4 linked regions of the Callithrix jacchus genome follow. The protein of the gene in region 4 purifies or fractionates together with the protein of the main gene of each other region. This does not show direct contact. Links are inferred from orthologs where the notes say so. Each region holds a gene or a part of one and is shown on either strand. Other genes may lie near its edges. The genes, in order: ITGA9, CANX, CD63 and ITGB1.

The links.
Region 1: the proteins of ITGB1 (region 4) and ITGA9 purify together in Homo sapiens (affinity purification with mass spectrometry; 3 studies listed by BioGRID and IntAct, counting the BioPlex papers as one, with this or other methods). This does not show direct contact. The link is inferred for Callithrix jacchus from reciprocal best matches to the Homo sapiens genes ITGB1 and ITGA9.
Region 2: the proteins of ITGB1 (region 4) and CANX purify together in Homo sapiens (affinity purification with mass spectrometry; 3 studies listed by BioGRID and IntAct, with this or other methods). This does not show direct contact. The link is inferred for Callithrix jacchus from reciprocal best matches to the Homo sapiens genes ITGB1 and CANX.
Region 3: the proteins of ITGB1 (region 4) and CD63 purify together in Homo sapiens (affinity purification with western blotting; 3 studies listed by BioGRID and IntAct, with this or other methods). This does not show direct contact. The link is inferred for Callithrix jacchus from reciprocal best matches to the Homo sapiens genes ITGB1 and CD63.

Annotation. Positions count from the first base shown.
Region 1 is NC_133518.1:75,302,320-75,309,884, reverse strand, and holds the start of ITGA9 (integrin alpha-9), read right to left. Parts: upstream 5,049-7,565; 5' UTR 4,826-5,048; coding exon 4,641-4,825; intron 4,372-4,640; exon of another isoform or gene 4,027-4,371; intron 1-4,026. UniProt on the Homo sapiens protein: Integrin alpha-9/beta-1 (ITGA9:ITGB1) is a receptor for VCAM1, cytotactin and osteopontin. It recognizes the sequence A-E-I-D-G-I-E-L in cytotactin. ITGA9:ITGB1 may play a crucial role in SVEP1/polydom-mediated myoblast cell adhesion.
Region 2 is NC_133503.1:71,971,169-71,978,615, forward strand, and holds the start of CANX (calnexin), read right to left. Parts: upstream 4,669-7,447; intron 4,614-4,668; coding exon of another isoform or gene 4,596-4,613; intron 3,688-4,595; 5' UTR 3,567-3,687; intron 1-3,566. Other genes in the region: CBY3 (sperm annulus positionning complex subunit Chibby3), read left to right, coding at 4,596-4,613, 4,669-5,325. UniProt on the Homo sapiens protein: Calcium-binding protein that interacts with newly synthesized monoglucosylated glycoproteins in the endoplasmic reticulum. It may act in assisting protein assembly and/or in the retention within the ER of unassembled protein subunits.
Region 3 is NC_133510.1:63,926,393-63,934,149, reverse strand, and holds CD63 (CD63 antigen), read right to left. Parts: upstream 4,755-7,757; 5' UTR 4,535-4,754; intron 4,112-4,534; 5' UTR 4,101-4,111; coding exon 4,035-4,100; intron 3,098-4,034; coding exon 2,909-3,097; intron 2,713-2,908; coding exon 2,638-2,712; intron 2,544-2,637; coding exon 2,448-2,543; intron 2,035-2,447; coding exon 1,894-2,034; intron 1,667-1,893; coding exon 1,583-1,666; intron 1,403-1,582; coding exon 1,337-1,402; 3' UTR 1,247-1,336; downstream 1-1,246. Other genes in the region: RDH5 (retinol dehydrogenase 5), read left to right, coding at 100-323. UniProt on the Homo sapiens protein: Functions as a cell surface receptor for TIMP1 and plays a role in the activation of cellular signaling cascades. Plays a role in the activation of ITGB1 and integrin signaling, leading to the activation of AKT, FAK/PTK2 and MAP kinases.
Region 4 is NC_133508.1:32,596,988-32,604,041, forward strand, and holds part of ITGB1 (integrin beta-1), read right to left. Parts: intron 5,754-7,054; coding exon 5,587-5,753; intron 4,384-5,586; coding exon 4,309-4,383; 3' UTR 4,303-4,308; intron 1-4,302.

The sequences.
Region 1 (7,565 bases), on a different chromosome or scaffold from region 4:
GAACCCCAAGCCCTAAACACTGACCAGGCCCTGCAGTGTTTTATGAGCAGAAACACAATTCAACCTCTTCGGCGGGCAACAATTTTTAGTTAGATGTAAGCACTGTAATACTTCAGATGTAAAACTGAAATCGATGTCTATTTCAGTCTTAGTACTCAAATGCGCTACAGCTTCATTTTTCTTTTTCTTACTGCTCCTTTTGATCCGTGTCTAAGACTGACATCATTGTTCTCAACCCACACTGCCAAGTAGAACTTTCCATGATGATGAAAATGTTCTCCCTGTGTTGTGTCGAAAACGGTAGCCATGAGCCCCATGTGGCTACTGACTGCTTGAAATGTGGCAAGTGGAACTGAGAAGCTGGATTTGACATTTTATTTTTAGTTAATTTAAATAGCAATATATCTGGCTAGTGGTGACTACATCAGACAGCTCACCAGAACTGTCGAACTTGTTCTTCTAATTCTCAACCGTCATCCAAATCGGGATGTTATGTTCTCCTCGGCTTGGAATCGCCTCCTATTCCTCACTGAACAAAGCTCCGACAACCTTAACGAAGCAAAAAGCCCAGTGCATCTTCCATTTCCGAGCACTTGCTCTGTGCCTGAGCACCGCCGTCTTGATGTGTCCCAGGAGAGGGAGCAGGAAGCACGTCTCCAGAAAGGAAGCCAGTGCACCCAACCACTTTGGACTCCAGGGCGTCTGGGGCAGAGGAGGCGGAGGGATGGGGAGGGATGTGAAAGACGTCCGCTCTGGAGGCTGCACGCCAGCCAGGCCGCGTTTATTTATATCACAGGGTGTTACAGTTGCCAGCCCTGCAGCTGAGGAACTGGTCCATGTCTAAAGGAAGGGGACAGAAATCGGCTTTGTCCATGTCCCCTGGCACCTACTGTCGTTGTTCAAAGGGTGCCAGAAGACTCGGGGATGGGAGCTATAGGAGAGGAAGCCGGCTCTGGGCAGGCAGATGCTCGCTGGGTGTTACTAGAGAAAAAGAAAATGGAATCGCTTGCACGTTTGTATCCCAACTGATACAAACATCATCTGGAACACTGTCCAGGATATTCTGGTCCATCTAGCCATGGGACAGTCCTCACTGCCGAGAGCTCAGTGACAGAGAGACCACTCAAGCAAGTACTCAGAAAAGCTGGGTCTGGGGCTCTGTGATCAGTGTGATATGGCTGCAGAGCTGGGTTCAGTCACCAGGGCTGGGAAAAGCAAGATCACCCCCACCCTTACACAGGGATCTAGGACCCTCCGATTAGAGACAATTTTGAGCTACAAAATAATCGAGAGAAATGCTTAGTTATAGGATCAGAGAAGTGCTAGTTCCACCAGAGCACATTCATATACTGTGAGATGTACACCCACAGGTTCTGCCGCCTGCCGAGTCCATGCTGACTTTGCTGTCTGGGCTCTCCTCCTGCCACTTCCAGAACATTCTTCTCCCTCCCTTTCCCTATAGACAACATATTTTTTTCACCTGTAAAACAGGTGGTTGATTAGCATGAAGCAAACGTCTTAGACTGCAAAATACTGAATTAAGTAACCATGAATAATGTCGTCAAGAAGAGAGACATAAGATACAAGGCTCAGTGAACATGTCTTCTTTTCCTTTCAAAGTTTTGCTATATTGCTTTTCCCTTGCATGTCTGTATTTTACCTTCCTCACTCAGGACTAGTATTTGATACTTTTCAGTCACTCCCATGTAGGTTCTATCCTCTTCCATTGCACTAGAGCAGCCCTTTGCAAAACTACTCCAAGCCTCCAGCGTCTGAATAAATCAATGCATTTTTCTAAAGTACACACGCTTCACTGGCACTTTGGTAATACACAGAGAATGCCTTGAAGCTGCCATCCTCTCTGACCTAGCAATTCCAAGCCTAGAAATTTATTCAAAGGAAATAATTAAGATTGTCCTCAAGGGTTTCCTTAAAGGTTGTTTAACCCTGCTGCTATTTGCAATCACAAATCATTGAAAATGACCAACATGTCCCTCAAGCATGGCTAGAAGATCCAGGGCTCAGGTTCTACTTAGTAGTAAGCAACCAATAATCTGTCACTAAGTCAATCAACCAACCACAGAGTCAGGAAAAGCAACCAGTCCCAGAGTTGATGTTAAGGTACAGACTTAGGGCAAATCCAGAATTCAGAGGACCTGATCTTATACGTTTAGGGTGACTACCTTTAAGAAAATTAATATGCAATTATAAAATTGGGGACAGGGAATTAATAGGACCCTGCATAAGCTAGAAGCCTTTGGCTTAAGTTTCAGCAGCCTCGCACAGTGAGTCTAGCCTCTAGAGGAAAGACAAAGGAGAAAGAAGAAGATGCTGGAAGTCGCTCGTTTCAAAGGCCGCAGCTTACCAAGCCTGGGCAGTGTAAGCAGCAAAAAATACATTCAAGGTCTAGGACGAAGAATATTGGGAGAAAGGGGAAAGAGAAAAAGGATGGGGAGGAAAATACTTGAAAACAACATCAAGAGAACAGAAATCAAGAGGAGAAGAAAAAGTTAAGGCAATGTGGTGGGGGCGGGGAGGAAAAAGAAGAGTTCTTTTGAAAAGATTTCAGTAGAGTTTAGGTGGTGCCTGAGCAGCTACAGGGACAAGCACTCCAATACAAAGAGTGGCCAGCTTACATCAGAACGAGAGGGGGCACTTTGGAGCCCGGCAGCCCAGCTGTATGGTCCCATGGACCCCTGAAATGCCAGTCCCACATCTCAACTGGCAACAAGGCTATGCACAGCGTTACTGCCCAGCTCCACACCGACTCCCTACCATTTACACCGGGTACCAAGTTGAAGACCAGACTGTCTTTTCCTACACTGGCCAAATCTGCTCACGTCACACAGCTTTTCTTCATCCTCTTCTTAAAACAAAGTAGGCTGAACACCTTTTCTGTCAGATCTGCCCTCCTCATTCCTTCCGCAGCCCAGGTGGCTTTGACCTGTGGCCCATGCAAATCCACAGTGACAGTAGCCTGGCCTCTCTCCCTCTAGCTGTCAGAGAGCTCCGGGCACTTGAGCCACCCTCAGCCTGCAGATCACACACAATGCTCTCTGGCTGGCTTGGCTGCCTGCTCCGCTGCCTGCCCTTTCTCAACAGCCCCCTGTCGACAGCAGCCCAACCATTTGTGACAGAGCTTCCCGCGTGCTTCGTGCCTAGTGCGGGGATCTGGGATGTGTTCTTCAGTCGCAGACCCTGAGTCTGCAGGACATAGAAAAAGCCTTCAGCCCGCTCTGCTTTAAAAGGGGAAATTGACAACTGTAAGGACAGACAGACACTGGGTCTTAAACCCAGCAAGTGGAGTCAATCAGAGAAGGGGAATGTGGAGGTGGGTGAGAGCTATGGGAGGACTTTGAAAGCCGGTTCTCTTGGAGGCTGATCTCCCAAACAGCATGATTCTTAGTGGGCTGCTCCCGGAGTCCCCTTTTCAAGGAATGCTCGAGTTCTGCGATCCACAAACCACCCTTTTCCATCAGCCTCTGTCCAATACAGAGCAGTGACTCTCCTGCGTAACTTCATGCTGAGAGCACCGGCATCAGTGACCTCGACCTCCCTGTCTGCCACCCCTAAGGACGCTCAGGCTGGTGACTACACAATAAAGTCAACCCCGGCCTGGCTGTCACCTGGGTCCCCATTGACGGATGACCTTGAACGGAGAACTTCCCGCAGCCCCTCTCTCCTATCGAGAAGTGACCACTGTGTGGCTATTTAATCCCTGTGGGCCAGGGGAAGTGGCCAAGGAGGGCACCAACCTCCTCTTCGTGCTTCTCCACTCGAGTTGGTCACAAGCTCTGTACCACTCAGCTGATGATGCTTAATGGAGCCAGAGCCGCCACCTTCTTCAGGCCCACCGCTCCGGGCTCAGAGGACAACTGAATCCCTTGGCCTCTACAGAAACACATCTCTCTCTCAAGGCTTCTGGTCAAAGTCTCCAGGTGGAATTGGTCCATATGAGAAGAGACTCAGGCTGCCCCAAGAAACACCTACCCGCCCCACCTCTGTCACTCGGAAGTGCTCTCTTACCCTCCTCTTCCCTATATCCAGGAGCTTCTCCACCCCACTTCCATCAAGGGTCTTGTAGGGGTCGGGGTAGGGGGGCCTCTGGGCTCCAGCGCGCCCGAGGGATCCCAGACGCCCTGCCCCTGGGGAGCACCACCCCGCGCAGCGGCGCTGGAGAGGCTACGCTCCTTCCTCAGAGGTTCCCCAAAACCGGGGAGGGGTGCAGCTGCAGTGCCCTGATTCCCCCAGGCCCGGCGAGGTTCGGGAGGCTCGCCGGGCCCACGCGGCCGCTCGGAGGCAGAGGAGCCAAGTTACTCCGCGATCCGGAGAGCGAAGCCGAGTCTAGCTGGGCGGTCCAAGAGGCAACTCTAGCGGCGCTCCCCGCATGCTCGGGGCTGGGACCCGGGGGAGGCGCGCGACAGCCCCGCCCGCCTCCAGGCGCCGACCGCGACCTCCGCGGCCCCCGGACGGTGTCCTCCCTTCTCCCGCCGTCCCCCGGGGGCCGAGCCGCGCGCAGCGGAGACATTTAAATCGCCCCCTCGGGACGGCGGCGGGGAAGAGGCCGGAAAGTCGGCGGCGGGCCCGGGGGCCGGGGCGGTGGCCGCCGGGCCGGGGTCGCGGAGCGGGCGGACACTCACCAGCGCGTGTTGTCGTGGAAATGCTCCAGCACCGCGTAGCCGAAGAACGAGTTGGCGGGGCCCTGGAAGCGCACGGGGCGCTGTGGGTCGAGGTTGTAGGCGCCCGCGGGAACTCCCGCGACCACCAGCGCCAGCAGCAGTGCACGGAGCCCCCTGGCGCCCCTGGGCACAGCCGGGCCGCCCATCCCCAGCCGGCTGCCGCCCTCCCCTCTGCTGGGCGAGCGGGGCGCAGAGCGCGCGGGCCGCGGGGTCCGCCGACGGCCGGGAAGCGTCCCCGGGGCGGGAGCTCTGCGCCCGAACGCAGGCGGGATGCGGGCGCCGGGGCGCGGACGGCTGGCTGAGCGGGCGCGCAGGCGAGCACAGGGGCGGCCCCGAGCGGTCGGCGTCCTCTGTCGGCCGGAGAAGTCTGAGCGAGCGGGTCCCGGGCCGGGCGGCGCTGGACTGCGGAGGGGCGCGCCCGCTGGGAGGGCGGCCCGGGCGGCGGAGGCTGGACGGCGCGGCAGCGCCCCCTGCGGGCCGCGGGCCCCGAGCACTTCCCGGGCAGGAGTCGGTCCCGCGACCCGCAGGACGCCCGGAGCTGCCCCCTCCCCGCTGCGCCCCGGGCGCTCGGGTTCCCGGAGGCGAGGCTGCGCCCCTCCGCCACTATGGGTTCGGCCGGCCCTGAGGGCCTGTCTCCCTGCTTAGGTCTCTCTTTCCCTCCCAGTCACAACCAGCAAGGTCCAGAACAACCTGAGTGAGGAGCGAGTTTAGACTCCAGAGTCTGGCCCTGCGCGCCCGCCGCTCCTTCACCCAGTTGTGGGATCAGCTGCAGGAGCGGCGCTCAGTGAACGCCGGCTGTCGTTAATCACAATAGCAGCCACGTGGAAGCGAGCAGAGCGCCCCTCAGTGTTCTAGTCACTCGCTCTCCTACACCAGTGATTCCCGAAGTGCAGTCTCCGGACCAGCAGCATCAACATCATCTGGGAACTTGGCAGAATGCAGATCCTCAGGCCCCACTCAGCCCTGCTGAATAGGGGCTCTGTGGCTGGAGTCCAGCAGGGTCTGCGTGCACTCAACGCTGTCACTGTAAACATGCGTAATAGAAAGTTTACCATCTTCACCATTTTTAACTGTACAGTTTGGGGTATTAAGTATATGCATGTTATGCAGCCATCACCGCCCTCCGTCTCCAGAACTCTTCATCTTTGAAAACAAACTTTACACCCTAAACAATAACTCCTCTTTCCCCTACCCTTACCCCCATCCAGAGCCTCTGGCAGCTACCTTTCTACCTCCCGTCTGTGAACTTGGCTACTCAAACTCAAGCTTCCTACTGAACTGACTGCGATCCTTCCAGTCTGACCACACTATTGTGGTTTCCCTGCCTGTGTTCTCTTCTTTCCACTTTTTACTTCTACACCAGAGTTTGGGTATTGTTTAAAAGCTTCCTGTTGCCCCCCGCCCCCACCCTCTTCTCCTGCCTCAAGATGGAGCCACACCTCCTCAGCATACCTTCACATGGAGGTTCCATCTCCTTTTCCAGCCCCATTTTAAGCCCCTTTCCCACTCCACTTCCCACAAACCCTACAGTATATCCACACACAATTTCGAGCTGTCCTCTGAGCCTGTCCAGCAGGGGTTTTCACACACATCTGTTCCTTCTCCAACGCTGTTCTTTCTTCCTAAAATTGCCTACCCCTCTTAAACTGGAAACAAAAATCCTATCCATTCTAGACGTCCAGGCCAGTCCTCCCCTCACCCTTTCTGTCCCATTTCCTCTGCCCTTTTCTCTTCTGGGCTGCCAAAGGGTATTAACATGCCTCTGTCTCAACACTTAGAACATGGTAATCATTTCAGGGGCTCTCTGTCCCTCTCCAGAGATGGTAAGGCTCTCCAGGGAGAAAAAAGTCTTAGACATCTTTGTAGCCCCAAGGCCCAGCTCAGTGCCAGGCATAGGAAGATGCTTAAACATTGTTGAAAGAATGAACTGGGCTCATGCCTGTAATCCCAGCACTTTGGGAGGCCGAGGCAGGCAGATCACTTGAGTCCAGGAATTCGAGACCAGCCTGGCCAACAATGGCCAACATGGTGAAACACCATCTCTACTAAATATACAAAAATTAGCTGGGCATAGTGGTGCACGCCTGTAATCCTAGCTACTCGGGAGGCTGAGGCAGGAGAATTGCTTGAACCTGGGAGGCAGAGGTTATCGTGCCACTGCACTCCAGCCTGAGTGACAGAGTGAGATGACATCTCAAAAAAATTTTTAAAGAATGAACTACTTAAAGAAAAGCAAGCTTAGGAAGAGGACAAAGCACTTTGGGGGAGATTTTGAAGGAGACTTTTAACTTTGTGTTTTGGTGACAGTGAAAAATGATCAATTCTCATTGCAGGACACTAAACACAAGGTTTCCTTTTGTTTTTCTTTTTTGTTTTGTTGTTGTTGTTGTTTTTGAGGCAGGAGTGCAGTGGCGTAATTACAGTTCACTGCAGCCTCGACCTCCCAGGCTCCAGCAATCCTCGCACCTCAGCCTGCCGCGTAGCTGGGACCACCGGCTTGTACCACCATGCTCGGCTAATTTTTGTATTCTGGGTAGAGATGAAGTTTTGTCATGTTGCCTAGGCTGGTCTTGAACTCCTGAGCTAAAGCAGTCCACCTGCCTCGGCTCCCCAAAGTGCTGGGATTACAGGCATGAGCCACTGCGCCCAGCCAAGGTTTTCATCTGCGGTAGAGATCATTAGTATCTCCCTGGTATTTATACTTCCCATTTTCCTTACTAACAAGTACCAGAGCGAGTGGCGTGTTAATATGCCTAGTTTTAAAAATAAATAAAACTATGTTTCCCAGGCTCTTTTGCAGATAGAGTGGCCTTGTGCAGTGTCTGGCCAATGAGATAAGAGCATGTGTTATTTGGGTGGTAGGCTTCTCAGGAGGTTTCTTAAAGG
Region 2 (7,447 bases), on a different chromosome or scaffold from region 4:
AACAACCCAAATGTGCATCAACAGCTGAATGGAAAAACACATTGTGTGGTGTTTCCATACAATGAAATACTATTCAGCAATAAAAAGCAAAGAATTGTTAATAAATACAACAACAGGGATAAATCTTAAAATAATTATGCTGCAAGAAGCCAATGTCAAAAAAATACATGCTGAGGCAGGCACAGTGGCTCATGCCTGTAATCCCAGCACTTTGGGAGGCCAAGGTGGGCAGATCACTTGAAGCCAGGAGTTCAGGATCAGCCCAGCCAACATGGTAAAACCCTTTCTCTACTAAAAATACAAAAAATAGCCCAGTGTGGTGGCAGGCACCTGTAATCCCAGCTACTTGGGAGGCTGAGGCAGGAGAATCACTTTCCCCCGGGAGGGCGGAGGCTGCAGTTAGCAGAGATCCCATCACTGCACTCCAGCCTGGGCAACAAATCAAGACTCTGTCCAAAAAATAAATAAATAAATAAATACACACACACACGCACGCGCACACACACACATATATACACATATAAATAGAAAATGCAAATTAGTATGTAGTGATGGGAACAGAGGAAACTTCTAGAGGTAATGGATAACTCCAGATGGATAACTTCATTATCTCGATTTTGGGAATGATTTCACATAACAAATGATCAAAACACTTCACATTATTCATTAGAAATATATGTAGTTGATTATGTCAATTATACCTCAATAAAACTATTACAGAAATTTCCTAGGAGGTGGCACTATCACTGGGCTCTGCTCCAGCTTTTGAGCTCTCCTGGAGCTGGGTCTGTCCCCTGCAGTCAAGTGGGTGGGCTTAGCAGGTAAGACAGATTTCATTTCCTTCCACTGTCTGCACACATGGCACTTGTCCTTCAAACATGCCCAGCTACTTGCTTCCTGAACCCCGAAGTCTTCAAGGGACTGGGGTCTCCTCATTGTTCAGGTTTTAGCATGAACGTCAAGGGCCTTCACTGAGCACAATGACTAAATTAGTTCCTACCCTCACCCTGTCCCCAAATCACTTTCTGTATTTCAATTTTGTTTTCTTCACTGTACATATCAGAACTAGTCTTTGTGTGTGTGTGTGTGTGTGTGTGTGTGTGTGTGTGTTTTGAGATGGAATCTCACTGCTATCCAGGCTGGAGTGCAGTGATGTGATCTTGGCTGACAACAACCTCTACCTCCTGGGTTCAAGTGATTCTCCTGCCTCAGCCTCCTGAGTGGCGGGGACTACAGGTGCATGCCACCACACCTGGCTAATTTTTTGTATTTTTAGTAAAGACAGGGTTTCAGTGTTAGCCAGGATAGTCTCTATCTCCTGACCTTGTGATCTGCCCACCTTAGCCTCCCAGTGCTGGGATTACAGGCGTGAGCCACCATGCCTGGCCTAGGCATTCTTACTCATTTAGTCATTCCTTTTTTTGGGTTGGGGGGATGAAGTTTCACTCTTGTTGCCCTTACAAAATGCTGGAATTTACAGGTGTGAAACACGGTGCCCGGCACTTTTTTTTTTTTTTGAATTTTTTAATACAGGGTATCTATCACCTATGCTGGAGTGCAGTGGCACAATGACTGCTCACTGCAGCTTCAACCTCTTGAGCTCAGGTGATGCTCCCACCTCAGACTCTTGAGTAGCTGGGACTACAGACGCATGCCACCATGCCCAGCTAATAGTTTTTTTGTAGAGGTGGAGTTTTGCCATGTTGGCCAGTCTGCCCTTTCATTTTCATCTATTCTTATTCCTTTTTTTATTTTGAGACAGAATTTTGCTCTTTTTGTCCAGGATGGAGTGCAATGGCGCAATCTCGGCTCACTGCAACCTCTGCCTCCCAGCCTGAAGGGATTCTCCTGCCTCAGCCTCCTGAGTAGCTGGGACTACAGGCCCATGCCACCACGCCTGGCTAATTTTGTATTTGTAGCTTTACTAGAGATAGGGTTTCACCATGTTGGCCAGGCTGGTCTCCAACTCCTGACCTCAGGTGATCCACCCATCTTGGCCTCCCAAAGTGCTAAGATTACACGTGTGAGCCACACTGCACCTTGCCATCATCTATTCTATTATCTTCCTCCCTGCTCAGTTGGTGCTCCACCAAAATTCCTATCACTGGTGGTGCACTCATCCCATAGGTGCTCTAGGTGCTGCCTGGTAACTCTTAGCTGCCCCTGCCATAACTAACATGTAGAAGGATACAAAAGACTGGCTCCCTTGCCTTAAGGAGGCCTAAGTGTGATGCCATTTGTGCTCACAGTTCTCCATGACAGCAAGCGGAAGCTAGTCTCTATGTGAGACCACACTCTGCCTCAGCCTTAGCCTTTTTCCCTGCCCTGTCTTGCTTCCCTCACCCTCTTCTCCTGAGAGCACTTCCCCAATAATTCACTCGAGCAAGAATGATCATCTTAGGCTCTGCTTCTAGGGAACCTGACCCATGACACCCTCTGTTAGCTTCCTCAGAAACTATCTTATTGGTTCCTCTAGAACAAATTCCTGTCTTGGACTCTGCTTATGACCACCCCCTTCATTCCCCTGCCAAGGATGACAGCTTAATGAGGGCAATATCTTCTTCACTTCCCTAGAATTGTTCCTAGAAAACAGTACGTGATGAATGATGCACTGAATGCATGCAGCAGAGAGCCCTGGGTCTGTCTGACAGCTCAGCATTCAGCAACCCTTCTGACCTGGGATAGCCTGGCCTGGAGGCATTGTGAGTCATAGCAGGTAGACACTAGCTGAGTGGGTCAGAGACGGAGCCAGGCCTGGGACAGGAGCTCAGCAACTCCACCACATCTTCCAGGTGAGGCACAACATACAGTGAGAACTAATGGGGAAGGGTCCTCTGACAAGATGCAATCTCAAGGGTGGGCCTAGATGTGGACTTCCAGAGACCATCTCCCTAAACCACATCTTGGGGATGGCATGTACCATCCAGCCTCTGCCCAGCTATACGTGAGGGATAAGTGTGTTATGAATTAACGAAGGTATAAGAGGGAAGCCTGCTCAAATTCTTTTTCTTCTCACTGTCCATGGGCAGAAGAGAAATTAAAAACAACATATAACTCCTTGGCCAGGTGTGTTGGCTCATGCCTGTAATCCTAGCACTTTGAGAGACCAAGGCGGGCAGATCACAAAGTTAGATTGAGACCATCCTGGCTAACACTGTGAAACCTCATCTCTACTAAAAATACAAAAAATTAGCCAGGCGTGGTGGCATGTGCAGGTAGTCCCAGCTACTAGGGAGGCTGAAGTAGGAGAATTGCTTGAACCCGGGAGGTAGAGGTGGCAGTGAGCTGAGATCATGCCACTGCACTCCAACCTGGGCTACAGAGCGAGACTCCATCACAAAAACAAACAAACAAAAACACATAGCTCCCTTTTTCACATAATAGAATCAGCACTTACTGGGCAGGGGAGTACAGGGAGAAGTGAGCAAAATGGGACTTGTCTGTTATCTGGACTTTGGATTCCCTTAGGACATAATATGTTTGGAACAAAAGTCATGTCTAGTGTGCACAATCTGTCATGTCTGTTACTTTGAGCCCTATGCATAGCTCTAGCCCATGGCACACACCCTAGGATGTCAGTGAACACACTGGACCGTGGTCTACACAGGCATCTGTCTTCCAAGCTGGATCAGGAGCATCTTGAGGGCAGGCAGAGGCTGTTTCAGGTCCTCCTTCCAAGACCAGGACCTGGCACAGAGAATATGCTAGTTGACTGAATGATGAGGGCAATCATGCTGTTGGCTATGCTAGACACCCTCCCAGATTGTTTCCAGAATCCAGATCTAACCCTAGCTTTGTAAGCCTTCAGCAGTTCCCTCTTACACACAAAAAGAAGTATAAGCTTCTGAGCCTGCCTGTGCAGCACCCTCACATAGTGCCCCGGTCCACCTTCCCAGCTTCCTCTTCTGCTCTTCTCAGCACCAATCCTATCCAAGCTCGTGTTCACATCTGAAACATGAAAGTCCTGTCGGGTGCGGTGGCTCACACCTGTAATCCCAGCACTTTGGGAGGGAGAGGTGGGCGGATCACCTGAGGTCAGGAGTTCGAGACCAGCCTGGCAAACATGGTGAAACCCCATCTCTACTAAAAATACCAAAAAAATTAGCCAGGCATGGTGGCGGGTGCCTGTAATCCCAGCTACTCTGGAGGCTGGGGCAGGAGAATTGTTTGAACCTGGGAGGCAGAGGTTGCAGTGAGCAGAGACCGTGCCATTGCACTCCAGCCAGGACAACAAGAGCGAAACTACGTCTATAAAAACAAAAACAAACAAATAAACAAACAACCCTGCTTGGCTCTTCCCTCTGCCTTTCTGCTCTCCATTTTCCATCCTCAGCTCACCTGGCAAAGTCCTACTCCTTTCAATACCTACTTGTCTCTGCTACCATTCCCTACCCCTCACCCTTCCAGCTGAAACTAAGAGAACAGGGCGCTCCTAGCGTCCTTCATCTGCATATTTATCCCAGCGCCTGATACTCAGTGGTCTTTGGGTAAGGTGATTTAGGTGAGACGGCTGCCTGTGCAGCGTGGAGGGACGGGCTCCTCGGTGGCCAGCACCTGGTTAGCCACAGCCGCAACCCTAGCTGCAGGGCTAAGCCATGTCCACCGGCCTCGAGGTTTGATAGGCAGCCTGTATTGAGCAAGCTGCTCACTCATACTCTTGCCTCCCAGCAGCCCCTCTGGCTCGCCTTCATCATTCTGGACATCCAGGTTCCCGAGGCAAGAGCGCAGCCAGTGCTGGGGAGTCGCCAGCACTCCCGAGGCTCCCCTCCTAGCACCTGCGTGCCCTACAAGGTCCACCCAGCACTCGCCATGGCAACCTTCGAGTGCCTGACTACGAGCCATGCCAGCCACGTGTGGGAGCAGCTGCGGCAGTTTTGGGCCGATCACATCTCGCGGCGCTTCTCGCCACGGCGGCCGCCAGCGCGCCGCATCTCCTCCCTGTCCACCTCCTACCTGCTGGATTACAGCAAGCGCCAGGCCGAGCTGGGCCTCTGCTACGGCGCGCCGCGCATACGCCTCGAAAACCAGGCCTTCGAGTTCCGCGGCGGCCGGTGGACAACGGAGGGTCACTTGGCGCCGACCGTCTCGGGCTGGAAGGCGCAGGAGCAGTGGACCACGATCCAGGTGTTGCTGAAGGAGAGCAACTACCTGAAGCTGCAGCAGGAAGTGCTCATGAATATGCTGACTGAGACCACGGCGCGCATGCACCTGCTGGAAAAGCAGCTCAACCTCGAGGTGACTCCGGCTGCTGCAGCGCACGCCCGACAGAGGAAGATGCGCAAGCGCGCAGGCGCCAGCGGGGACGTGCTCAGGATCCAGCCTTGAGTTCTGGACTCGCAGTGACGTAATAAAGCCCGCGCTGCGCATGCGCGCCTCGTTCCTTGTGACTAACCCTGACCCGCCAGGGACTGTGGCGGTTTCTGTTCCCTGGGCGAGGTTTTGCGTGCGGGCGGGGGCGGTCTGCGTGGCCTCGGGGACTGCCCCTCGGTGCTGGGTGTCGGCGGGGGACGCAACCCTAAGCAACGCATCTCGGGAGGGTGCGATGGGGCCGTGGAGGAGGGTCTGCGCGTGACTTCGGGAGCGCGGGCTGGAAGCCAGGCTTGCCTCGGGCAGGGCCCAGACAGGGTGGAGTGGCAGGTAATGGCCTTGCAAGCCATACAAGTAACCGAGGGCGAAGTCCCGCAGGCGGAGGAACCGTGGCGCTCAGGGAATAGAGGGTGCGGTGCGGCAGGAGCTGAGAACAGTGTGGGGGGGCTTTGCACTTGGTCGGTCCTCTGGGCCTCTAGGATCAGGAGGTTTAGAAACTAGGAGTCCTAGGGTAAGTGTATTTTACATTCCCAAGAGAAGCTTTCTCGAAACCTTGGGTTGTGCGGTCCCCACTTGCCGGTGTGGCATTTTGGAGAGTTGCGTCTCTGTTACAGGCCTCCTTTTTTTTTTTTTTTTTTTTCCCTAAACACTGGGTCTGGCTCTGTCACCCAGGCTGGAGTGCAGTGGCGCGATCATGGCTCACTGCAACCTAGACCTTCCGGGCTCAAGCAGTCCTCCCACCTCAGCCTCCCATACTGGTGGGATTACAGGCGTAAACCACCGCGCCCAGCACAGGCCTCCTTTTATGCTTCCATAGAATGCGGTCTTCTCTACCCACAATCTTAAAAATTGCATTTGTTGCCAAGGTTTCAGAATTTGGAGATAACACATTAAAAATCCAGATTTATTGGGGCCGGTCGTGGTGGCTCACGGCTGTAATCCCAGCACTTTGGGAGGCCCAGGCAGGCTGATCACTTGAGGTCAGGAGTTCAAGACCAGCCTGGCCAACAAGCTGAAACCTCCTCTTTACTAAAAATACCAAAAGTTGGCTGAGAGCCGTGTCGGGTGCCAGTAATACTAGCACTTTGGGAGACAGGCGGGTGGATTACCAGAGCTCAGGAGTTCGAGACCAACCTGGACAACACGGTGAAACCCCATCTCTACCAAAATACAAAAAAACTAGCTGGGTGTGATGGCAGGCACCTGTAATCCCAGCTACTCGTGAGGCTGAGGCAGGAGAATTGCTTGAACTCAGGAGGTGGAGGTTACAGTGAGCCGACATCACGCCACTGCACCCCAACCTGGGTAACAAAATGAGACCCTATCTCAAAAAAAAAAAAATCCAGAATTGCCAAGCATGCTGGCACACACCTGAAGTCCCAGCTACTCAAGAAGCTGAGGTGAGAGGGTCCCTTTAAGCCCAGGAGCTTGAGGTCAGCCTAGGCAACCTAATGAGAACCTCTTAAAAAAAAAATTCCAGAATAGGCAAGTTCATAGAAACAGCTTAAGTTACCAAGGGGTGGGAGGAGGGAGTTTGTGTGTGTGTGTTGGGGGGAAACACAATGGGGCTTCCTTTTGGTATGAGGAGAAATTAGAACTCTGGTGGTGATAGTTGCACAACATCATAATAAAGGTCACTGAATGGTATACTTCAAAACGAATTTTATGTGAATTTTATCACAAATAAGTAAAAGGAGGAAGACACTTTACATAAAAAAGTAAAGAAAAACTTAAATGTAGAATGCCAAAATAGCAAAACTCATAAAGGTGATCCAGGAATGCTTAAGTTTAGCGAATATTGCTTTGGCCAGACTACCTGAAAACAAATACAGTCCTAGGGCAGAGAAAGGTACCTGTCCCACCAAACCTGCAGCAGGCAGGAAGCCCCACAGCCCAGTGCAGGTCCTGTTTAGAAAGAGGCATCCAAGTGGATCAAGGACCTGAACTAAATGGATCAGGATGACATTTTTTAATATCTGACTTTGTTCTTCCTGCTCTGGAATTTCACACCCTGGTCCTGAGCCCTGCTTGGGAACAGCCAAATTCATTGGCCCAGGAGATGAAAGTGACAGAGTAGAAAGCAGGAACAAAGGACCCTGGCTTTTACCTCCTACAGCTCAGAATCCTCTGGGGAATAGAG
Region 3 (7,757 bases), on a different chromosome or scaffold from region 4:
GGGGACTGAGAGCAACAAGCCCTGGGCCCCAAAAGATAGTACCTAAGATGGGCTGGAGTTGGGAAGGGAAACTGATTCCAACTACCTATGGGGCTGCAGACCTCCAAGTGCAAGAGCGCATCATGAACCTGATCTGCGACCCGGACCTAACCAAGGTGAGCCGATGCCTGGAGCATGCCCTGACTGCTCGACACCCCCGAACCCGCTACAGCCCAGGCTGGGATGCCAAGCTGCTCTGGCTGCCTGCCTCCTACCTGCCAGCCAGCCTGGTGGATGCTGTGCTCACCTGGGTCCTTCCCAAGCCTGCCCAAGCAGTCCACTGAATCCAGCCTTCCAGCAAGATTATTTTTCAAGGGCAAGCTTTATTTCTGCCCTCCCCCTGGTACTGCCTGGTGCCTGTCACAAAATAACCACTAACAAGTGTGTTGTTTGAAAAATAAAAAGAAGGTGGGCAGAAACAAAGGTGCCCCGTGGAAGGCCGACCCCATTTAAGTGCTAACTACTACAACACGCTCATGGTCTCTGGTCAGTTCAGTGCCTGCAAAATAGCTAACACCCACAGGGGGGCGCAGGGAACTGCCTCACATCTACAGCGGCACCTCGAGGAGGGGCCATCAGAGGGCACTTTGATACATTTTCCTTATTTTCTAAAGGGGAGTAAGGTTGCAATTCAGGGTCTGTACTGAGAATGGCCTTTATATTTCTTGGGGGAGAAGAGCAACTGATGAAGAGGGATGGGGGTCAGGCTGGGTGGCTTCCATGGAAAAAAAGGCAATATTCACATAAATTCTCTTGCTAAGGAGGAGACTGGCCACACAGGTGTCAAGGCAACTTATCACCACTTTGAAAGGAGCTGGATCCCTGGAGAACTGGCCAGGGCAGGAGGTGCTAAGCCCTTAGCGGTGCACAAAAGGCCAGGAAGATGTCCAAGGTAGCTGTGGGCTGGGCTCTCCCAGGTGGGACCTTTCTGGGGAGCTGCTTTGAGTCATGCAGCAGATGGCTTCGTGAACGTTCGGAGTGAGCCTGGCGGCACAAGACTAGGGGGCAGGAAGCACCACAGTCTCTGGATTGCCACCTCTCCCACTGCCTGCCCAACCAACACCTTCAGCAAAGTCCTCCTTTCCCAAATGCCCCCACAATACACCTTCCTGAAGTACACAAACAGTAAGGTCCCAGAGGACAGGGAACATGGGTAAGGAAAGGAAGGAATCAAGCATCTCTCTAAGACAAACTCAGACCATCTCTCTTTTCCGTCTGAAAAAATAATCCGTTTAATTGAAAAACCTGGAGGATACTACTCCACTCCCCAAGATGAAGAGGGCGAAGAGTCCAGACCCTACATCACCTCGTAGCCACTTCTGATACTCTTCACGAGGCAACAGGCAAAGACAATTCCCAAGACCTAGAAAGAAAGATGGGGATGGGGGTGGAGAGGAGTCAGAAGGGCAAGCTACCCCAGACCCATGCAAGAGACCCCAAACACACACTCCCAGGCCAGTACCTCCTGCTCAGCACCCTCCCCACTGCCCCTACTCCAGGCACCCTGGACTGAGTCCAGCCCCTCCTCAGGGTTATCTCTCACCTCGACAAAAGCAATTCCAAGGGCTGCTGCAGCCACCACCAGCACGTTTTTCCTCAGCCAGCCCCCAATCTTCTCCACACAGCCCTGAAGGGTGGCAGGCACACAGGACAAAAGCACCATCAGAAACTTACCACCCCATCCCCCTCCCCTGGTCCATCGGTCTCTTCCCTGCCCCTGTACCTTTCACCCCACCCTTATCATTTCCAGATCCCCTCCCCATCCCTGACCCTGTCCACCTCCATCCTAGGTCTCGCTTGCCTCCCAAAACATTTCCCAGGTTTCCCAAGTCCCGTACACAGTCTCCTCCCTACCTCCTTATGGATCTGCTTCTCGGTGAAATTAATCCCACAGCCCACAGTGACATTAACGCAGCAGGAGTCAGGGACTCGGTTCTTCGACATGGAAGGGATTTTCTCCCAATCTGTGTAGTTAGCAGCCCCACAGCACTTAAACTGGGGGAGGGAAGAAATACGGAGAAGGTTAAGTGAACCTCCATCTTCAATATGGAGCTGAGAATTCCTTTTTTATTTTTTAGACAGAGACTTGCTCTGTTGCCCAGGCTGGAGTTCAGTGGCACGATCTTGGCTCATTGCAACCTCTGCCTCCCAGGTTCAAGCGTTTCTCCTGCCTTAGCCTCCTGAGTACCTGGGATTACAAGTGCACGCCACCACACCTGGCTAATTTTTGTATTTTTATTAGAGACAGGTTTCGCCATGTTGGCCAGGCTGGTCTTGAACTCCTGACCTCAGGTGATCCACCCACCTTGACCTCCCAAACTGCTAAGATTACAGGCATGAGCTAACGCGCCCAGCCTTGGAGATGAGAATTCTCTATTCCCACCCCTGCTCCCAATAACCCCACTCACATCTGTCTGCATCCTGTCCAGAATCGAAGCAGTGTGGTTGTTTTTTGGGTAATTCTCCATCTGCTGCCGGAAGTTGTTATTAAACTCTGACATTACCTGAGAGTAGGTAAGGAGCATTGTTGCAGTCAGAATTCAAGCACCTGGGTCCCTGCCAGGCTGAGGCAGGCCCTTCCCGTTATTTCCTGCTTACCTTATCTCTAAACACATAGCCAGCAATGGCTGCGGCCACCTCTACCAGCATGATAAGAGACAGGAAGATGGCAAACTGCAGGAGCAAAGGACAGGAATCAGGTTTGGGGTCTGCATTACAGGGGCCCATTCCGGCCCACTCCGTCCCTGGACACTCACAAACGTCTTCCTCACCCACCTACCCACCTCACCTCACCCACCTTCCTGAGCCCCAACCAAGCTGCCCTGGCAGTCCCAGACCACCCATGCTGGCCCCACTCCCTGCCACTCACCGTGATCATAAGACAGTAGTTCTCCTTGCAGGCCCCACAGCAGCCCACAAAGGCCACCAAGAAGAGGAAGACACCCACTGCAATGATGACCACAGGCAACAGGGAGCCAGGGGTAGCCCCCTGGATTATGGTCTGACTCAGGACAAGCTGTGCCCCGACACCCACAGCAATGAGTCCCACTGCACAGGCCTAAGAGAAAGGCAGGCGAGGATTAGGCTGGACCCACAACACAGTGGCCCTCCATGGTGGAGGACAGGGGTACACCCAGGACACAGACTTGGCCCTAACCAGAGGAGAGATTCTCACACCTCCAGTGAACTTTTTCGGCTGTGGGGATGGGGGATGACCCATCCTTGCCTGGCCCCAGCTCCTCTGACCCCCTCCAGGCTCTTTAATCAGGGACTTGACCAAATTCAAAGGCTTCCCAGAAAGCCTTGACCTCCCCCAAGGCGCATGTTTCTGACCTAGAATAAGGCTTTCTACGGGCCTCAAGGGTTCGCAGCTCAGTTCTCTCCCAGAACTGGCCCCTCGCTATCCTCCAGTGCACACCCTACGCGCCTCAGCTGTAACTAAGGTTCCTCTGGCTAGTTAGGCCAAGAGAAGGGAAGAAGAAAAGGGGGAAAGAGAGATGTGCCCCTCCCTAGACAAACAGTAGCCTCTCAAGACAGGAGCCCAGAGCAGGAGCAAATTGAGGTGGGCAGAGCCCTTCCTCACCCCCAAGCGCTGGGAGGAGGGAAAGGGGGAGAAGGACTGGAGAGGGATGGGGGTGTGGGTGAGGAAGAGAGGGGAGAAGGGAGAGAAGGGAAGCCCCGTGGCGATAGCATCAGGCGGTTGGCTGGTTGCCCCACTCACTGCCCCATATCACAAGTGGTTGGGTCACCAGACAGGAAGGGCCAGGAGGGGTGGGGGTAGGGGTTGCTGCACCCCAGGATGGCCATTCTCTGTGGAAACCAGCCTCAGGTGTCCAGGAAAGCTGGAGGAGGGAGTGGCCGCGCTGTCTTCCCCGGCTTTCCTTCCACATCTGGTCTCCAGCTGCCTTCATTCTTACTCCCTCAGCCCTCACCAGTGTGCTGCCAGGTCTCCCCGCACCCTGCCAGCGCGCTCCCCAGGACCCCTCGCCACTCACGCAAAAGGCCAGCAGGAGGACATAGAGCAAGAACTTCACACATTTCATTCCTCCTTCCACCGCCATGGCTGCCGGGCCTGGGGCAGAGGGGAGGGCGGGGGGATTAACACAGGCCGAGAGGGGACCTCGCCTTCCGCGCTCCCCGCCGGCCCTCGAGGGCTTCCCTGCACGCCCCGATTCCCGGCCCCTCCCACCCGGAAACCCGCGGTTGGATCCACGTCTCCCAGCCCCCTCTCCACCCGCAGGAGAGGGGTGGGGGTGACGGCCGCAAAGCCCGGACCCCGCCCCGCCGCCCGTGGGGCCCAGGACAGATCCAAGGACGCCGGCAGGGGCTTGAGTCAGAAGCCGATCCTCGGCCTGCCAGCCTCCCGGAGTCAGACACCCCCTCCCCGCCCAACCGGTCCGGACAAACGGTCTTCAGCCCAACACCGACCCCCACCCCGACCCCTTTTCCCTGGGATTGGACCTCTCCGCCCACGAAAATAAAGTGCGGCCCGCACCCCTGCCACACCCTGCCCTGGCCTGGGAACTTCGAAGCAAAGTTGCTCGACGGAGGCTGGAGAGCGCCGGGCAGGTCTCCTCGGGCCTGGGGCCAGCCCTGGAGGAGGAGAACGCCGGTGGTCTCCGCCAGCCCGCGCCCAAGTCCGCCGGGACCCCCCGGCCTCACCTGGGTTCCCCAAGGCTGCGCGCTCCTCTCCCGCCGCGGCGCCGGGGCTCTCTAGCTGCGCCCCCCGGCTCCCGCCCCGCCTGCCGCGCAGCCCCGCCCCGGGCTCCAGCCACGGTCCCCTCCCCCGCCGGGTGGCCGCCGACCTCCCTCATGTGACGCGGGAACAGCTGAGGTCTGAGTCACTGGGGCCGGCGCGGGGTGGGCCGAGCCCCCCGCCCAGCCAGGGCCACGTGGCCTCTACCCGGAAGACAGCGCCCACCCCCGAAAAGGGAAAGCCGCAGGGGCAAGACCTCGAGGCGCCGGGGGCCCCCCTCCGGCGCCCCCACCTCCGCGCCAACACCGAGTAGGAGAGCGGGGCGGAGCGCCGCCTGGGTCACTCTGGTTCAGAGAAGCGGAGGAGGCGGGTGAGAGTTACCCTCTCAGGGCCGGGGCGGAGAGCGGAGGACTAGTGACCCGGCGGTCTGAGAGAGGCTTCCCTATCCTTCTCCCACAGCCCAGCTCTCTCCTCTGGCTCCAACTCAGTGCGAGCCCCTCCCCATCCGACTCTGCAGACAGCTGTGGTCTGCCTGGGTCGGATGGGGTCAGAACAAGCACTTCTAGAAAGTCCCTGGCCTCTCATCGTGGGTGTCTCCCAACATGCTAGAGTATTCTAGAGTGGGGGTTTCTGGTCCCCTCCATTAGCACAGCTTCTCCATTTTCCAGGGCTCCTGGTCTGAGCAAAGAGGAGGAAACCCTTCCTCGAAGCCACACTCTCCAGTCAAAGAAGACACGTCCTCGTCGGGTCCCGTCCTCTGGGGGAGGATTGACAAGGTCTGTGCTCCCAACCTCCCGGACAGCTCCTGCATCCGCCTGCTATGGCGTGGGCTTGCGGGAAGACACGAAGGCGGGAGAGGCTTATGTCCTCTGGATTTCCCCGTCTTATCCCAGAAGACAAAGCCAGGTGAGGGCTGGAAGCGGGCTAGGGGGGCGAAGCAGCCTCCCTCCCTTGTGTGCCAGCGGTGGTCCCCAGAAGGAGCTGATCTGAACAGACCAGAGGGTAGGACCGGCCGTCACACTCCAGCCTGGGCCCCACTCCTTGGGCTCTTAGAGTCCTGCCTCAAGAACCACTTCCTGAGTCTTGGTGTATGTATGTATCTAAAGTCTTGGTTTATGTGTGTACACAAAGAAGGAAAGAAACCTCTGGGCTGAACTGAGAAGCAGCTTCCAGGATCATGGCCTTCCCGCCGGACACACCAAGCCAATTCCCGACCTTGTTCTCCCTAGCCATGGAGGGCAGGCTGTGGAGGAGGAGCGAAGAGCTGAAAAAAGGAGGATTCAGGTTCCTCATTGTGCTGCCACTAGATGCCAGGCATGTGCTAGGCACGGGGGCTGCAAGGAGAGGAAGACAGTGGCCCTGCCCTGTGCCAGCAGGCAGAACCAAGTTCTGGCCACACTGAAGAAAGGCAGAAGCCTGCTGCGGCAGCTGGTTAAGCTCAAAGGGACGATAGGAGAATGGATTTCATGGAGCAGGGTGGTGTGCTCAAGGTGACCTTGGAGAATAAAGGGGAGAGCTCCAGGGACAGGGAAGCAGTTAACTGTGAAAAAAAAAAAAAAAAAAAAGAGCTTTTTTTTTTTTTTGAGACGGAGTTTCGCTCTTGTTACCCAGGCTCGAGTGCAATGGTGCGATCTCGGCTATCTCGGCTCACTGCAACCTCCGCCTCCTGGGTTCAGGCAATTCTCCTGCCTCAGCCTCCTGAGTAGCTGGGATTACAGGCAGGCGCCACCATGCCCAGCTCATTTTTTGTATTTTTAGTAGAGTCGGGGTTTCACCATGTTGACCAGGATGGTCTCGATCTCTTGAGCTCATGATCCACCCGCCTCGGCCTCCCAAAGTGCTGGGATTACACGCTTGAGCCACCGCGCCCGGCCAAAAAGGAGCATTTTTTTAAAGTATATGACAGCTTGGGGTTGGCTGGCTCGAAGTGCTTGGGAAGGATGTAGTGAGATGTGTTGAAGGTGGTCTGAAAACCAAGATTGAGAGACTTTCGATACATAACAACCAACTTGGTCCTTCACTGAATAATTGTCTGAACAAACCAGCTGTGAAAGACATTTTGGGACATATAAATATGGACTGAGAATTAAACATGAGAAAATTATTTTGTGAACTGTTATCATGGTTAACAAAACGGGCATATCATGATATGATTATATCGACAAGTTACTCTAGTTTTTATTTTTTTTCTTTATTTCTTTTTTTTTATTATTTATCAGCCAGTGCATTTGTTTACAGGAAAGAGGTCCCGATCCAGACCCCAAGAGAGGGTTCTTGGATCTCATGCAAGAAATAATTCAGGACAAGTCACAGTGCAAAGTAAAAGCAAGTTTATTAAGAAAGTAAAGTGGCGATACAAAATTAGCCGGGTGTGGTGGCAGGCACCTGTAATCCCAGCTAGTGGAGAGACTGAGGCAGGAGAATCGTTTGAACTTGGGAGGCAGAGGTTGCAGAGAGCCAAGATCGCACCACCGCGCTCCAGCCTGGGAGACAGAGCAAGACTCTGTCTCAAAAAGAAAAGAAAGTGGTAAAGGGCCGGCACAGTGCCTGTCACCTGTAATCCCAGCACTTTGTGAGGCCAAAGCGGGTGTATCTCCTGAGGTCAGGAGTTCAAGACCAGCCTGACCAACATGGAGAAACCCCATCTCTACTGAAAATATAAAAATTAGCCAGGTCTGGTGGTGCATGCCTGTAATCCCAGCTACTCAGGAGGCTAAGCAGGAGAATCGCTTGAACCCAGGATGCGGAGGTTGCAGTGAGCAAAGATGTGTCACTGCACTCCAGCCTGGGCAACAAAAGTGAAACTTCATCTCAAAAAAAAAGGGGGGGCCAGGCGCGGTGGCTCAAGCCTGTAATCCCAGCACTTTGGGAGGCCGAGGCGGGTGGATCACGAGCTCAAGAGATCGAGATCATCCTGGTCAACTTGGTGAAACCCCGTCTCTACTAAAAACACAAAAAATTAGCTGGGCATGGTGGCGCGAGCCTGTAATCCCAGCTACTCAGGAGGCTGAGGCAGGAGAAT
Region 4 (7,054 bases):
TAAGTAGAAATATACACAGTTCACAGTTTTTACTTAGGGAAGGACTGGTGCCTTGGCTCATGCCTGTAATCTCAGCACTCTGAGAGGCCAAGGCGGGTGGATCACTAGAGGTCAGAAGTTTGAGACCAGCCAGGCCCACATGGTCAAACATCATCTCCACTAAAAAAACAAATTAGCCAGGCATGGTGGCAGGTGCCTGTAATCCCAGCTACTTGGGAGGCTGGGGCAGGAAAACTGCTTGAACCCGGGAGGCACAGACTACAGTGAGCTGAGATCGTGCCACTGCACTACTCCAGCCCAAGACTCCATCTCAAAAAAAAAAGGAAAAAGAGTCAGGGGGCATATGATCTGAGATGAGGAGACAACCAAAGAATGGCCCTGGAAGCCTTGCTGTGAAATCTGAACTTCATCCTGCAGGTGGGATACCACTGAGGGAAAAATAGTATTCCACCTACAGGATGAAGGAAAAAGCCAGACACTTGCGTAGCTGCCTTCTGCAAGACACCAAATAAACCACTGTGATTTCAGCTCAGCAGCTTGTGTGATACCAATCAGAACCCGACAACATGCCTCAGTCCTCAGTCCCCTCTCCTCAATATACACCTTGATCGGTTGTTTCAGAAACATGGAGAAACTCAGGATCCCTCAGAGACAAACAGCATATAATGTGTATGACAAAATTGTGCAAACTCTCAGCTCTAGTCCCAATTGAAGTTAATACATTATACAGTTGTGACAACAGACATTTCAAAATGGGGGTCAGAAAACTGGATTCTTGCAACTACCATCTTAAAAAGCCAGAGCACAAATAAGTTAGGCTCCACATTTATATCCTATCTGATTGGAGGCTAAGTGCTATTTGGTCCTTCAAACATGTTGGAAAAATAAATTATTATCTAATTAAGTTTCTTTAAAATAATGTGTTTGCTAAATCTAGTATTTAAAACTCAAGAATTATAAGGGAAGAACAAAATAATAATAATAATAATGAAAGAAAGAAAGCCCTACCCAGCTGAGTCCAAAGTGTAATTTACATGGAAGAACTTACCTTTGGAGAAAAATCTATCTTGTCATATACACAAACATTTGTATTTATTACTTCAAAGTCCATCCAAACAAAAGTTTAACATGCAAGGTTAGATGTAAAATTAAGCTCACTATCTGCATTAGGCATCATTTTAAATGGAGGTAAACTAAAATAATTCAGATTAGTTTCCATCATTCAGAGTGCAACACCACCCAACCCCAACAAAACCCGAATCAAGAGAACAGGGTTACATTACGAAAGGAAGCCCTCAGTGCTCAGTAAAATGTTGTCTTTGTGCTCACTCTGCAATAGCTTCTATAATGTATTAGATATGTAATGCAGAACTGTGGGAGATTTCGGATCCACATTTAAACCTGCATAGCAGCAGATGAGGACAATTTTTTTAACCCACTCCAATAGTTAGAAGCTGAGAATGTGACACGTTCTTTTTACCGCTCCTACTTATGCCAAAGTAATTAGTGCCTGCGAAATATTTCAAAAATATTGGTGACATAATTGACGGGCAAACCTTGGTCCATATCAGAAATTTTTTTTACAATCTATGATATAATTTCTTGATGCTTATTAATTTATTTCAATTTTACTTAGTTAAGTTCTACTTTTTCTTGAGAAAATATCTCAAAAATAATCATATTGCCTGGACTTCAATAATGCAAAGAAATTTTTACCAAACTTTTGCTTCTTGAATTACATTAAATGCTTCTTTTAACAACATTTTAGCCATATATACATTATAAGCATTAAGTTTAAATAACATTTACTGATAATTTCCTTCAAAATACAATTTATTTTTTTTTTTTTGAGACGAAGTTTCGCTGTTGTTACCCAGACTGGAGTGCGATGCAACGATCTCGGCTCACCACAACCTCTGCCTCCTGGGTTCAAGCAATTCTCCTGCCTCAGCCTCCCAGTAGCTGGGACTACAGGCATGCACCACCATGCCCAGCTAATTTTTTTATTTTTAGTAGAGATGGGGTTTCACCTTGTTGACCAGGATGGTCTCAATCTCTTGACCTCGTGATCCACCTGCCTCGGCCTCCCAAAGTGCTGGGATTATAGGCGTGAGCCACCGCGCCCGGCCTTCAAAATGCAATTAAAGGTACGGAAAGGGTGAAAATTTCACCTCTCTGTCTGAAAGAAATTTTTTTCTCCCGTGAAAAATAACCACATGAAATTGTCAATATTTGACTATTTTTTTTTTCCTACAACTAAAGAAAATAATATAAAAGAAAAAAAAAAAGCCTGGCAATGTCATTGACTAATCAGTTTTCCTCTAAAAATGACTTTCTGTAAAGTATTAAGTGAGAACAAGAAAAACATGTCATCACACACTAATACAAATATGCTCCAACCCTGCCCATATGTGAATCTGAATATAATTTTCTGCCATCAAATTTAACTTTAAAAAGTCTTATGGTCTACTTAGAAATAAAAATCTGACAAGTTAATGATTTCTAATATTATCAGTACTTCCTATATCACTTATAACTATTAAACATTCCTGTACTTAGGCTCTTTTTCATGATCCGTTTGTAAGCACACTCCCAACAGTCAATAAGCATAACTGCGGCATTGGGTTCCATGTATTCAAGTGACTGCCCTACTAAGATGTTTGCCAACAGAGGTGGTGTTAACTCCGACAGAGGAACAACAAATTGTCAAAACTCTGTAAATCTCTAAAGAAGACTGATCTACCTCTTCCTAACCAGGTAACAGGGACTTCTGAAGATACGTAACTGCTACCAAGTAGAATATCATAGACAAGAACATGAACTCTGGAGCCCAATCGCCTGGGTTCAAATCCCAGCTCTCTGACTAACTAGCCATGTGAATTTGGTCAAGTTATATAACCCTTATGTGTCTCAGTTTCCTCATATGTAAAAAAACAGGTATAAACATCATTCCTTCAACTTTCACTATGAAGATTAAATATAGATTAAGTGTTTACAATCATGCCTGAGACACAATGAGTTCTATGTAAGTGTTACCAACACCGTCTTTATCTGCAAAATAAGGTAGGCAGTGAGAAAATTGGAAATCTTCCAGGCCCTATTACAGTCAGTCAACTGGGAAAGAGAAGAAGAGTTCCCGATCACCAGTCAAGAGAATTTAGTTCTAATCACAATTAACCTTGGTTATCACTGAGTTTTAGGAGCTTGCATGATTATATTGAAATACGATGGAAGCATTTCATGAAAATTCAGACAGGAACAGTTTCAAACTTACACTTGAAAATTAGAATCATTCTCACATACACACACAGACACAGACATATATATAATATACAAAGATATATATATATAATATGGTCTTCCAGCTTTTAATGAAATTTAAAGTTATATTCAATAAATTAATCTCAAATCTTCTGAGAAACAATAATAATGATATTGTAGTTGCATACCACACAACTTACATTTAATTTTCTATTTTGCAATTTGGAGTCCATGATCAGTTTTCACTACCCAACCCTAAGTTTACTCTAACAATTTGTTATTTAAGGATAATACTGGTGGGGGCACAGTGGCTCACACCTGTAATTCCAGCACTTTGGGAGGCCAAGGCAGGCAGATCACTGGAGGTCAGGAGTTCTAGGCCAACCTGGCCAACATTGTGAAACCCCGTCTCTACTAAAAATATAAAAACTAACTGAGCATGATGGCAGGCACCAGTAATCCCAGATACTTGGGAGGCTGAGGCAGGAGAATCACTGGCATCTGGAAAGCAGAGGTTGCAGTGAGGGGAGATCATAACACTGTACCCCGGGCTGGGTGAAAGAGCAAGACTCTGTCTCAAAAAAACAAAACAAAACCAAAAACAGAAAAAGAAAAAAGGATACTATCATTCTAGGCATAGAATTGTTGTGAGGATTAGAGCTCACAAGCTGATTTCATATACTGGAGTGCATTTGCCAAATACAATTGCCCCATACAATACAGAATACTGACTCCCTTTGATAGATGAGAGAAGTGAAGTGGCTCAATGCTGTTCTACTTACTAAGTGGAAGAGCTGGGGTTTGACCTGAGGTCTGATTGCAAATCACATTCTCTTCTCACTACAACACAGCTGCTGTTTCTATACCACATTACTTATTTTAGTCTTTCTAAAAACGAAGTTAACACACAAAAAGAAAAGCCGCAATAGCGATATAAATAAAGCCAGACTTAAAAGAAAAGCAATAGTGATAAAGGGCACACAGTGCAGTAAAAAAGTAAATGTTCACATGCAAAGGCAGAAAGTGAAAGAAAATACGAACGGCAATTTAGAGACCAGTTTTACGTCCGTAGTTTGGATTCTTGAAATTATTAATAGGACTCTTGTATATCGGATTTTCTTGCTAAAGTAAAAGAAATAGTTTCTAATGATTTCATCAGAAAAAAAATAGACATTTATAGTGTTCAAACACTATAAAGGGAATTTTTTTCTATTTCTACCCTTGTGAAATTTATAATTTTAAAAATTGATAATTTAAAAAAATTCCAGCAAACTGTAGTTAAGTGCAAGTAACTACAATTCATTTACAACTTAAAAAAACTAAAGATTGCCAATGCTTTCTTGTATCAAAATATGAATACACAGAGGCTGAAACTGACTCCATATTTCAAAGCACTAAATGCTAACATAAACTTTCAGTCACTTAGGGCTTTTAAAATTTTTATAAGCCAAGGTTTACTGAGATATAATTTTCATAGAGGAACATATACCTTTTTAAAGTACATAGTTCCATGAGTTTTCAAATACATAAATACATCCAAAATCAAGATCATCCCAGGAAGTTTCCTTATGGCCCTTTGCGGTGAACCCTTTTCCTCATTCCAGCCCCTAGCAACAACTGATTTTTGCCCATATAGTTTTGCTTTTCCAGAATGTCCCTTAAATGAAATCACATAGTATATAGCAGGGGTGTCCAATCTTTTGGCTTCCCTGGGCCACCTTGGAAGAATAATCATTGTCTTGGGTCACACATAAAATATACTAATGATAGCTGATGAGCTTAAAAAAAAAAAAGTCACCAAAAAAAAAAAATCTTACAATTTCTAAGAAACTTTACAAATTTGTGTTGGGGCCACATTCAAAGCTGTCCTGGGCTTCATGTGACCCACGAGCTGCGAGTTGGACAAGCTTGGCATATAACCTTTTGAATCTGGCTTTCACTGAAGGTTCTTTGTCTTTTTTTGTTTGTTTTTTTAAAGAAAGAAGCAGCTTTCCATTGAATAGCTTGCTACACAGGTAACATTATTTAGGATTCTATTTCACATTAGATGAAAAGGCAGATTTAGGATCAAAACTATTAAAGAAATAAAAATACCGGCCACAGTAACTAGAATATACGTGTTTATAATCAATGTTTTGTTTCAATGAGATATATTTAGGATGCTTCCTGTTTTTCATTAAACGCAAATTCTTTGAATGAGAAACTTTTGGGGGACTAAAATATTTAAAGGAATTTAATAATCAGCCTGACAGTTAATAAGTAAGTCTTAGGAGTATTACATTTGATTTATAAGCCACATTGGTTTTTGGATGTTTTGTAACTTACCGTGTCCCATTTGGCATTCATTTTCTCCTTTTCAAATTTAGCAAATTCCCTTCGGTCATGAATTATCATTAAAAGCTTCCATATCAGCAGTAATGCAAGGCCAATAAGAACAATTCCAGCAACCACACCAGCTACAATTGGAATGATATCTGGACCTGTAGGACACTCTGGAAAATAAGAAGGTAGTAAGGAGCACACAAGGGACAAACACATGCAGAGTCCAGCGACAACCACAAAGAGCTGCGCAGTATCTTATAAAAAACATACAGAAATAAACACACAAGACAGTGAATGCACGCTATCCCAAAGACTCCATAAAGTAGCTTTTGGAACAAGTGAGTTTAGGAGGTCACATGATCAATGAACAAAAATCATGTATTTTTCTACATATATAATGTATTTCTACATATTGAAAATAGAAATTTTTAAACAGTATCATTTATTACAAAATGAAGAAGCATGAAAAACTTACATATAAGTCTAACAAAATATATGCAAGATCTGCATGTTAACAATTGCTACACACTGATAAAAAGAAATCTTTAAGACTGAAGAAATGGAGGGATATTCCATGTGCATGAATTACAAAATCTAATACTGTCAAGATGTCAATTCTTCTGAACTGGATCTATAAACTCAACGATATCCCACCCAAATTCCCGGCAGAACTTCTGTAGCAATTAGCAAACCAATTCTAAAATTTACAAAAAAGGCAGAGAACTAGGGAAGTGTCTCAAAAACACTTTTGGAAAGAATACAGTTGGAAGACACCTGCTTCAGGACAAGCTATAAAGCTACAAGACCATGTGGTATAGCTAACAGACAGACTCAGATACATGGAACAGCAATCAGAGTCAGAAACAGACCTACACATGTAAGGTCACCTGATTTTCAACAAAGGTGGAGAAAGGACAGTCTTTTTTCAACAAATGCCCCTGGAACAAGTAGACACTAATATGAAAAAAAAACTGACCCTTTTGCCATACACTAAGACTAACTCAAAATAAGTTACAGATCTAAACGTGAAACCAGAAACTATAATAAACTTCTAGAAGAAAACACAGGAGAAAAAGCTCTAAAATCTTGGGTTAGGCACAGTTCTTACAGACAATGTAAAAGCAAGATTCACAAAAAGAAAAACTTGGTAAACCATACTTCATCAAAACTGAAACCTGTGGTGTTCAAAAGACACTTATAAAAAGATAAGGAGGCACAGGCTGGGAGACAATATTTGCGAAACACCTAGCTGATAATGCAAAACAGTACGAGACTCTAAGAGTATGGCAGCTTCTTACAAAGTTAAACATATGCTTACCATATGCTCCAAAATGCCATTCTTAGAATTTACCCAAGAGAAATGAAAGCTTATGTTCACACAAAAGCATGTACACTAAAGTAGCAAATTCCAAAGAATCTATAAAAAGCTACTAGGAAAACTAAGATTAAAAAAAAAAAGTTTCACCTCCTG